2 linked regions of the Saccharomyces cerevisiae S288C genome follow. The main gene of each other region encodes a partner of the protein of the gene in region 2 in a complex. Each region holds a gene or a part of one and is shown on either strand. Other genes may lie near its edges. A codon is read from its position in the direction of its gene.

Region 1 (6,733 bases), on a different chromosome or scaffold from region 2:
AAGATATCCACATGTGTTTTTAGTAAACAAATTTTGGGACCTAATGCTTCAACTAACTCCAGTAATTCCTTGGTGGTACGAACATCCAATGAAGCACACAAGTTTGTTTGCTTTTCGTGCATGATATTAAATAGCTTGGCAGCAACAGGACTAGGATGAGTAGCAGCACGTTCCTTATATGTAGCTTTCGACATGATTTATCTTCGTTTCCTGCAGGTTTTTGTTCTGTGCAGTTGGGTTAAGAATACTGGGCAATTTCATGTTTCTTCAACACCACATATGCGTATATATACCAATCTAAGTCTGTGCTCCTTCCTTCGTTCTTCCTTCTGCTCGGAGATTACCGAATCAAAAAAATTTCAAAGAAACCGGAATCAAAAAAAAGAACAAAAAAAAAAAAGATGAATTGAAAAGCTTTATGGACCCTGAAACCACAGCCACATTAACCTTCTTTGATGGTCAAAACTTATCCTTCACCATAAATATGCCTCGCAAAAAAGGTAATTAACATATATAGAATTACATTATTTATGAAATATCATCACTATCTCTTAGCATCTTTAATCCTTTTCTACATCAGATAACTTCGGTTTGTTATCATCGTCTGTATTGTCATCAATTGGCGCAGTAGCCTCAATTTCAACGTCGTTTGACTCTGGTGTTTGTTCATGTGCAGATCCATGAGATGATGAACCGTTGCCCTTCTCAATACTCTTCTTATCAAGTATTAATTGCTGTAGCTTTTTTTCAATATCTGAGTCCTCTACAAATTTATTGAAAATACTCAAAATTTTCAAAAACGTTTCGTTGCTTGTCTTCCCTAGTTTCAAATAATGCAAATAAACATTTGAAATTATTGTTAATATGGATGAAATGAGGATTTTCTGGTCTTCCTGTGTTTCACTCGAATTTAGCAACGGTAGTAATCCGCCCTCAATTAATTCTTCTACCGATTCCATCTCATTAGTTGGAATTTCGATTTTATTGATGAGCGTCTGCTCTAGCGTTACCACTGCAAATTCACTTATCTGCTTACACGGATTGATGCATTGATGTGCCAAAGCTTGAATAATAGCGAATATCTCGTTTTTACGCAGATCGTTATTATCTTCCAGCAAGTGTGATGTTAGTTGAATGGATTTCAATGATAATTCGATCGATTTCTTGTATGGATTCTCCTTATCAATTTTATGACCACTTTCTGTCAATTTCTTGTATTCTATTTCCCAGTGATTTCCAACGGCACCCATTGATGAAATTTCATCTAATAGTCCTAGGACCCACATGAAGTTCTCATTTGTCAAAATATTGCTGTCTGTCTTGATCGATTCATTTAAATATTCAAAAATGCTCTCGCTCTGCTCTTTCATTGCTGTAACTTTTCTTAAAAATTTCCAAAAATTCTCATTTCCTAGTAAAAATCCTCTATAAAACTCTGATTCGGTCAATGAAAATAGTCTCTTCAAAAATTCCTTACCTTGATTAGTTGCAAAAAATTTTTGGGTAAAAATATCCCCCTTTTTTAACAGCTCATCGTTTATTAATTTGGACAAGTACTCCGTCTGATCCGCACATAACGAAATTAACAAAATTTTGTATGTTAGCATTCTACGAACAGTCCTTTTCGTGAGGCCTTTCGTGTGAGAAAGTTGGAAAACTTTTTGAAGTATGAACTTTCCTAATTCTTTCTCCTCTTTGCAAAATAGAAATAATGCAATAGTCAATTCGATGATAAATAAAAGTTCTGCTTCAAAATACCTGGAATTATCTGCGTTTTTCTCAGTTTTGGCGGAGTCTAGTAAAGTTTTTATTAAATCCGCTGTTATATTTGATTCATTTCCAAAGACAGAGGCGGCAATATTACTCGACTTTATGCACTCCATCGCTTTTTTTGAGGATTTGATTTCCTCTTCTGTGGGTTCTTCATCACCTTTTAAATAAGAAGCAAATGTTGATAAGAGACCTTTGCTTTCTTTGCTCTTGTTAATAGAAATTTCAGGAGATGGCTTAGGCAAGTTGCTTAATTTCAGTCTTTTTTGTAAATCAGGGAAAATATCAGGAGACAAAATCAAGTCTTCGTACAATGTTAGTATAATATTAACAATGTTTAACCATAATTCCTTGGAGAAAATTTTAGGATCTTTGTTCCTGCGAATAATCCGGAAAAAAACAACTGTATTTAGTTGACCCTTAAATGATCTACCAAATCTAACAGCATCTGTACTAACCGGGATCTCAGTGTTAGTGTCTTCGAATTTAATTTGCACCAGTGGCATTGGGCCATATTCAAAAGCTAAAGTTGAAAGTTCATCGTCATGGCTTGAATTAATCAAAGTAGTGCCCTTAGCAATGGAGTTTAGTATATCATTAAAGAGATCTTTGAAGTCAAAAAATGCGGAAATATAGGAACATTTGTCCAAACTTGTTATCATTCTGGTAGATATATGGTCATCAGATGCAACTACGTAAATGTTGAATAAAGTACTGACAATACTTGGGCCAACTTGTTTAAAAATTGCTCTATCAAAGTTCAAAAGCTCCAAGGGTGTTAATTTATCCATGACAGATTGTGTGTCTTTTTTTATTTCAGTTATAACAGTAGTTGAAGATATCAAGTTATTCCAAGCATCTTCAAACCACTTTTCGTTGCCGTGGTGCTCTTCAGGCATAACAATTTCTTTATCTCTGATTGAACAGTAAATTCTATCCAAATACCAGAATGGGAAGTCTTTGTGATTACAGCATCCCTTTAAGTTACCAGAGTAATCTTCAAATGACATGTGTTCCTTCACTTGAGGGTTATGTAGGTCAGTGTTCAACATAATAATTGAATAACTTAAAATGAAAACAGAATCAGCGTCTGGTTGAACAGTAGAAATGTCATCCTCCGCGTTGTCACTGATTTTGGATGGATCGTAATCTTGATTTTCACAATACGCAGACGAGAAGGCTTCGATGATTCTTTCAATTTGTTGCGATTCACCAGGCAACCTAAATTTCGTCAACAAAATTCTAATAGCTTCATCGACCCTTAACCCTGAAAAATCAAACAAACGAATATATTCATTCAACAAGCTTACTTTGTCCGGATGGCAAAGTAGCAAACCGATTGTTTTTTTATTCATACGGTTGTTATTATTGAAAAGAAACTCCGCAATATCTTTATCGGAGTCGGAAGCAATGAAACCTTTTTCTATTAACATCGGAATACCCTTTTTGGGCTTTTCATTGAATGCATTGGTACATTCAATAAACTCTGTTTTACGGTCCCTCTTTTTTAAGATTTCCATTTCATTCTTTTGCCTGCCAAATTCTTCTCTGTCAATGTCCTTCATGTGATCGAACATATCATCGACTAGGGAGACCAATCCCTCAAGGCAAATGGGTGGTACACTTTCTGTGGTAGTTAAGGCGGATTCTGGTAAGGCCAATTTAGTCAAAGCCTTCAAAAAGTTTATGGAAACGTCTGCCCTATCGAGATTACAATCGAAATTGATAAAAGTAGAAGTAAAAAAAGATGGCGACCTAGTCCATAAGATGGATATTTGCTCAATTAGAAGTTCCTTTATTATTGATGGCTTGTTCTTATTTTCAGAACTCGAGTTATTTGCGGTACCATCATCTAAAAGAATAGAAAATATTCTTGTTAGAGTGAGCTCGATCTGTAATTGTAAGTTGTTGCCCAATATAACAACTAGAGTAGTAAATAGCTGCAATGTAGCTTGAAGTAGTGATAATTTTGTAGTGTTCTGTATGATAAACAAAATGCTTTTGAAAATAGGATCTGATATCAGTGTAAAAAGCCGTGGGTATAGCTGCAATCGATCACCTGAAATTTCTAATGCCGTTTGAATTAACTCTAGGCCAAATATTCTAGTGGAGTATGAATGTTTTAATTCATTTTCTGGCGCAATCAATGATAGTAATAAGTTTAAATATTGCCTAACCACGGGCAATCCATAGTTATCATCAGCATACGCTTGGATCCTGGAATTTGATCTTGTTGTTTTTTGCACAATATCTAGTTGTTCGGCGCCATTTGTGCTCTTCTCTGAATGAATATGCTCTTCTTCAATGCCATCGTCCTCGCTAATAGCTTCCTCATTATTCACTTTCATGCCGATGGGATCTTCTTGACTTCCTTCTTCTTTGGATTCTACATTTGTGCCAATTGTATCGGCCTTCAATACATCATTTGTGTAACTTTCATCATTGATGTATATTTGATTCACATTAACAGGCTCAATAGTCTTTAGTTTTGAGAAAATCTTTACGGTAACGGCTATCATTGTTGATTGTGCAGCATTCCTAAGGACTTCGCTCCTTCTGTTATTACAAGCCAATGAAAGAATCGTTTGCAATACGTCATATATGATAGAGTTTGATAATAAATCTCCGTAAGGTGAGTCGACGATTGAACGCAGTAAAAACACGACTTTCAAAAGAACTGAATCATCAGAAAGTTGTTGAGATCCTTCAAACCTACAATGTGTTAGAGCATTTACCGTCGCCCTGTGTGCACCAATATAGTTTTGCGATGATTCATTGATGATATTCAAGGTAAAGAATTTCTGCAAAGAGTCCAGGGCCAGGGAAGTGATGTAACCAGAAATGGAACTTGTACTCACAATTAATAAAAATGGCTGCAATATGGTTAGTGAATCTATATTATCTAGATTTTTCAGTTTATTCAACATAAGTCTTAACTGAATGAATCCAGATAAAAATGGATCATTGTGCTTGTTGGTATTCAAATTGTTGAATGTGTGAGCCAAGTAGTCATCTTGATTGCTAAATATTTCACTTCCTCCCCCCAGCAAAGCGGCCACTCCAGATTGAGAGGTAAATTTAGAGTATTTCCGCATCGCTGTCGATAAATTAATGCATTCTTTGATTATGATAGTGACGGGATCTACCGTGACGAATTCCCTATCACTCATCTTTCCGCCTCTTCTCTTTCCCTTTAAAAGATTTTTTAGATACTAAATTAATCAGTTTATTGTCTATGGTTTACAAGCAGTGAAAGAATTTAAATTCAACGTAATATGTAGGTTGGTGTGTTTATTATTTAAACGCCAATGTAGGTGCTCTTTCGACACTTATTGAAGGTTCTCGCAATGAACCGCGTAGTATTTTTCAAGTCGGGTAATGAAATATATAAGAACACTTCTAATACTTTATGAAAATAAGTGCTAAATATGGTTTACCTCTTATGCCAATATAAACTATAAAAGAACTTAAAAACATCAAATCTTTAGCAGAGGAGTCCTTTCCGTTTGAAATTGTTGTTTATTACTTTATTTGCGGTTCGCCACACTGCCTAAAACCTGCAGTTTCCTGTAAATGTTGCTGGTATATTATCAGTATGAGCCGGCCGGATATTTCCCTTATTTAATGAAAGAAGTTTTTTTGAAGTCAACTTCTAGTGTTTGTCTTCCATTTTAACGATCAGGAGTCGTCATTCCAATTTTTTGCCTAGAAAAGATTCATGCTTTTAGGAAAATAGTGGAAAACCAAACATACATCAATTGACGCTTCAAGTATGGTACTTAAAAGATAATGTTAATATTTATTATCCTGTTAATTAGTCTTTCTTCGTCTTCTGAAAAATGTTACTTGGAATATTTAATGTTATGAAATTATGGTAATGGCCCTCCTGTTGTCTATTGAGGTGTCTGGGTGTGTTTGTCACATTCAATATACTGTTAAACCGCCACAAATTAATGTACTTCAGACAGATGTAGTAAAATAACAGCAAACAGGTGATGTAACTTATAAAAAATAATACACTAACATAATATCCATTAGATGGATAGCTTCAATTATATTCATGGAAAATATAAAAAAAATGGGACGGGAGGCGACAGAAGTATAAATCCATCCTCACATTCATCGTCTGGCAAGAATATCATTCTTTGTTTTGATGGAACAAGAGAAAATTTTGGACCTCAGCCATTCACTAATATTTTAAAATTGTACAACCTTCTTGAGAACGGTGATAGTTCTGAACAAATTTGTTATTACCAACCTGGAATTGGTTCAGTTGGATTTGACGCTGTTGTTGATGTCAGAAGACGGTTAACTATTTCTCACTTACAAAATTTATTAGATTCTATGTTCGCATTCAGTTTAGACAATCACATATGTTCTGCATATCTTTTTTTGATGAAGTATTTTGAACCAGGAGATAGAATTTATATGTTTGGCTTTTCTAGAGGAGCTTTTATTGCAAGAGTTCTTGCTGGAATGATTGAAAGAGTCGGACTTTTGAGTAAAGGTTTGGAAGAAATGGTTAAAATGGCATGGCAAATCTATGAAAAATGGGAATACGATTCGCAGCCTAATGAATTACAGTACACAAGTACCTTGGCTGAAGAATTCAAGAAAACATTCTCTAGGGATTACGAGGTAAAGATACATTTTCAAGGCTTATTCGATTCTGTGAACTCAGTTGGAATATTAAGGGACAGGTTGTTTCCTTGCACCCAGAGAAGCAATATCGTTGAGCATGTTCGACATTGCGTATCCTTGGATGAAAGACGTGGAAAATTCAAGCAGTTATGTTTCACTCCGATGCCGTACATTCCGAAACTATTTTCATTGACATATTGTAATCATATAACTGACCAGTGTTCGCCGGTGCCAACTTCTAATGCATTAATGCGTGATCTAACCCCGGAAAATCCTTTGATAAAATACACTTTAAAAAGTGGCGCACATTCTATTAGTAATC
Region 2 (3,006 bases):
TATTATGTGATAAAAAATTAAATGTAAAAAGTTATGGGTGTAGATATGTATGGGTCTGAGATTAATACAGTCCCCAGATTGAGAAAGTTTTCGTGAAGATTATTTGTTGAGTAACAACAAATCAAAGATCCTCTTCAGTCTTGAACAGTCAATTGACACAGTACCACACTATCATTCTGAATTATCATAATATGATTTCGTGTGTTTTAGGTTTTAAAAGTATCTTTTGAGAACACGGTGGACCTGAGAGCGAAACGTCAATATATGATTCACGCAGGGGTGCTGTAAAACAAATGAAAATGCGTTGTATAATATCCTAAATATATCATGTTTCTTTGTTTCTATATCAAATTGCCATTATTAGTTAAAGTAGTTTATACTAGTTAGGCTTCTTCAGTATTTTTTTATTTTATTATCTTGGTTTTTATTGCTTTTACACTAAAATCTATATGTGTTGGCTGGTGATCGTCAATAAATCCATCGACGTTGGCCTCTTAAGTTCTTAATCTTTATGTTTCATTTAGTTTATACAAGCGTATTTGATCCATATTCTAGAATTTTTAAGTTGAGTTTTTCAAACTGTTACTTAACCATTCCAAACCTTCATACAAACCTTCACCGGAGGTAGCACACGTGGCTTGGATAAACCATGGACGGTTTCTAATAGAATGTAAACCTAGTTTTTCAGTGATTTCAGCAGCAGACATGGCTTCTGGCAAATCTTGCTTGTTAGCGAACACCAACCAAGCGGCGTTTCTCAATTCATCTTCGTTCAACATTCTTTGCATAACTTCTCTAGCTTCACCAATACGCGATCTATCGTTAGAATCGACAACAAAGATAACACCTTCAGTGTTTCTGTAGTAGTGTCTCCATAGAGATCTAATTCTGTCTTGTCCACCGACATCCCAGACAGTGAATGAAATGTTCTTATATTGGACAGTTTCAACGTTGAAACCAATTGTTGGAATGGTAGTGATAACTTCACCCAATTTCAACTTGTACAAAACGGTGGTCTTACCAGCACCATCAAGACCAACCATAAGAATACGCATTTCTTTGTTACCAAAAAGGTTACTGAACAACTTAGAGGCAAACAAACCCATTTTTAATTCTATTAAACCTGTTTGAGTTCTTTCTTATACCTTCAATGCCAGAGGTTCCAAAAAGTTTCAAAACAAAATGAACTTTCTATCTAGTAAGACTTATAAAAACCACCTCGATAAACAAGTGGATCGAGAACGTGTCAAAGATTCCGTTTCTCTCTCTGTTTTTCCATTTTTCGATTTTCATTTTTTTTTTTGGTTTGACAAATACAAGCCACCTCGTTATATGTGATTTGCAACGCGAAAAGAAATAAAAAGGGAAGGGTAATAACATGGTTTTTCTACAATAAACTGCTATCATTACGGTATTAGTGGCTTCTTGAGAGCTTATTGCGTGACTTTTTTTACTAAACTATTGAAAAATGCAACTAAGTAGCTAGCTTAAAACTATTGCTATCATTATCATTATTACTACTGTTATATATGTGGGCAATGACTTTCTTAAGTATCAGACGAGAATTCAACTGTGCAAAATTAAAAGGTTGAGCGAGATACTTATCTTTTCGTTTAGCTCTTAAGTATCATTTACCAACATTCACTTTACATCCTGCGTACTGTCTTAGGCCGCGGATGAAAACCGAATATATGACTTCGTTGTTATCTTTTTCCCAATAAAATTCGGTTAATCTAATATGCCAAGGTGGGAACCCTTGTAAATCCAACGAAGGCCCGAAGTATAACAGTAAATCTGGTTCGGGTCCAACTAGTTGTTTCAGTTCTGAATCAACTAAATCCATTGTGATGTCAGAAACGCTCAATTCGTTAACCGCACATAACTCAGCCATAGTTTTGGTCAGATCGACAATCGTTTCTCTACCATCTCTGTTAGACAATAAAGAAATTTCAATAGCAATTTTGTCCTTTTCTTGGTTAGCTTCTATCTCATTGCCTACATCAGTCTCGGTTTCAATTCCGTCTAGATTGTAGAATATCTTGTTAGAATGAGGTATTTTAACAGCGTAGTTTGGAACATGAGCTGGCCCAAAATATTTAGCCAGGTTGGAATGAATTTCCATTCTCAGCTCTGGAACATTTCTTTGTAATATTCCATCGTAATCGTACAACATCAAATGTTTTATACCAGCTGAAACAGTCCAGCAAACAATTTCACTCGCGTCATTTAATAAACCTGTCACACCGCCGCCAACGTCGCCAACTGGCTTGACTTCCAAGATAGCGGCCAACCTTTTAGGAATTTTTTTCAGAGGAATAACGTCCTGTCTAATCAACTGTGGTGTATATGCATGGTTGTAGATGATACTGAATATTCTTAGTTTCATTTTATTATATTGGTATTGACCGTACCGAAACAACCCGAAGCAGATGTATAACAACACAAGTAAAAACTTGTAAAAAAGGTATTCAAATTTACCTATTCTTTTACTCAAATCTTCTGTCTTTTGCTTTTGGACTCCATTCGTCTCATTGTTCACTTTCTTCTGAGGGTTCTCATCGGCGTCTGCAATGATACTTGTAACGGCCTTTAAAGCTCTGGTTTTTGAATTAACTTTACCGCCCTTTAAAACACCAGATTCTGGAGGTGGGATGTGATTGGAAGATTCTGGAACATCATCTCTTTCGATCTTTCTATGCGGTTTTTCATTAGGGGGCTCCATTGCTTTATCATCCTTTTTGATCATCGTGGGCATCTAAGAAAAACAATGGGGAAAATATATGTATATATATTGTATCAAAAAATTGTGTAATTTGCCAACTAATGTTATGCGAATACTAACTTGCGTAAAAATTCTCTTCCAGCGCCTTCGAGAGTTGTTGATAATTCAAGCCAGTGTTATACGTGGCTCCTGCAGGACTTTTCTATTGGGAAACCTTTTCGTTTATAATGACTTCCGACGTTGACCGAAGATGGTATCCGTCGGCGGCTAAGTATCCAAAAGTG

Evidence for each region. Proteins that work in one complex are often made in the same cells at the same time.
Region 1: the proteins of ARF1 (region 2) and GEA2 are in contact, whole or in part, in a cryo-EM structure (PDB 7URO), measured with the Saccharomyces cerevisiae proteins. Residues at the interface, in NP_010089.1 of Saccharomyces cerevisiae: Glu17 (codon at 1,058), Arg19 (codon at 1,052), Met22 (codon at 1,043), Gly24 (codon at 1,037), Leu25 (codon at 1,034), Gly27 (codon at 1,028), Lys30 (codon at 1,019), Ile46 (codon at 971), Pro47 (codon at 968), Thr48 (codon at 965), Ile49 (codon at 962), Gly50 (codon at 959), Phe51 (codon at 956), Asn52 (codon at 953), Val53 (codon at 950), Thr55 (codon at 944), Thr64 (codon at 917), Trp66 (codon at 911), Asp67 (codon at 908), Val68 (codon at 905), Gly69 (codon at 902), Gly70 (codon at 899), Gln71 (codon at 896), Arg73 (codon at 890), Ile74 (codon at 887), Ser76 (codon at 881), Leu77 (codon at 878), Trp78 (codon at 875), His80 (codon at 869), Tyr81 (codon at 866); in NP_010892.1 of Saccharomyces cerevisiae: Leu646 (codon at 3,005), Arg650 (codon at 2,993), Leu651 (codon at 2,990), Pro652 (codon at 2,987), Gly653 (codon at 2,984), Glu654 (codon at 2,981), Ser655 (codon at 2,978), Gln656 (codon at 2,975), Gln657 (codon at 2,972), Ile658 (codon at 2,969), Glu659 (codon at 2,966), Phe699 (codon at 2,846), Ile700 (codon at 2,843), Tyr703 (codon at 2,834), Ile706 (codon at 2,825), Met707 (codon at 2,822), Asn709 (codon at 2,816), Thr710 (codon at 2,813), Asp711 (codon at 2,810), His713 (codon at 2,804), Asn714 (codon at 2,801), Pro715 (codon at 2,798), Gln716 (codon at 2,795), Val717 (codon at 2,792), Lys718 (codon at 2,789), Glu719 (codon at 2,786), Met721 (codon at 2,780), Asp725 (codon at 2,768), Asn729 (codon at 2,756), Leu730 (codon at 2,753).

What each region holds. Positions count from the first base shown.
Region 1 is NC_001137.3:109,628-116,360, reverse strand, and holds GEA2 (Arf family guanine nucleotide exchange factor GEA2), read right to left. Parts: upstream 4,941-6,733; coding exon 561-4,940; downstream 1-560. Other genes in the region: URA3 (orotidine-5'-phosphate decarboxylase), read right to left, coding at 1-194; YEL023C (uncharacterized protein), read left to right, coding at 5,809-6,733. UniProt on the Saccharomyces cerevisiae protein: Activates the ARF proteins by exchanging bound GDP for free GTP. Plays a role in maintaining mitochondrial morphology. Stimulates DRS2 flippase activity.
Region 2 is NC_001136.10:114,421-117,426, reverse strand, and holds ARF1 (Arf family GTPase ARF1), read right to left. Parts: upstream 1,107-3,006; coding exon 561-1,106; downstream 1-560. Other genes in the region: NUS1 (ditrans,polycis-polyprenyl diphosphate synthase), read right to left, coding at 1,628-2,755. UniProt on the Saccharomyces cerevisiae protein: GTP-binding protein involved in Golgi vesicle trafficking. May modulate vesicle budding and uncoating within the Golgi apparatus. May recruit the lipid transfer protein VPS13 to Golgi membranes.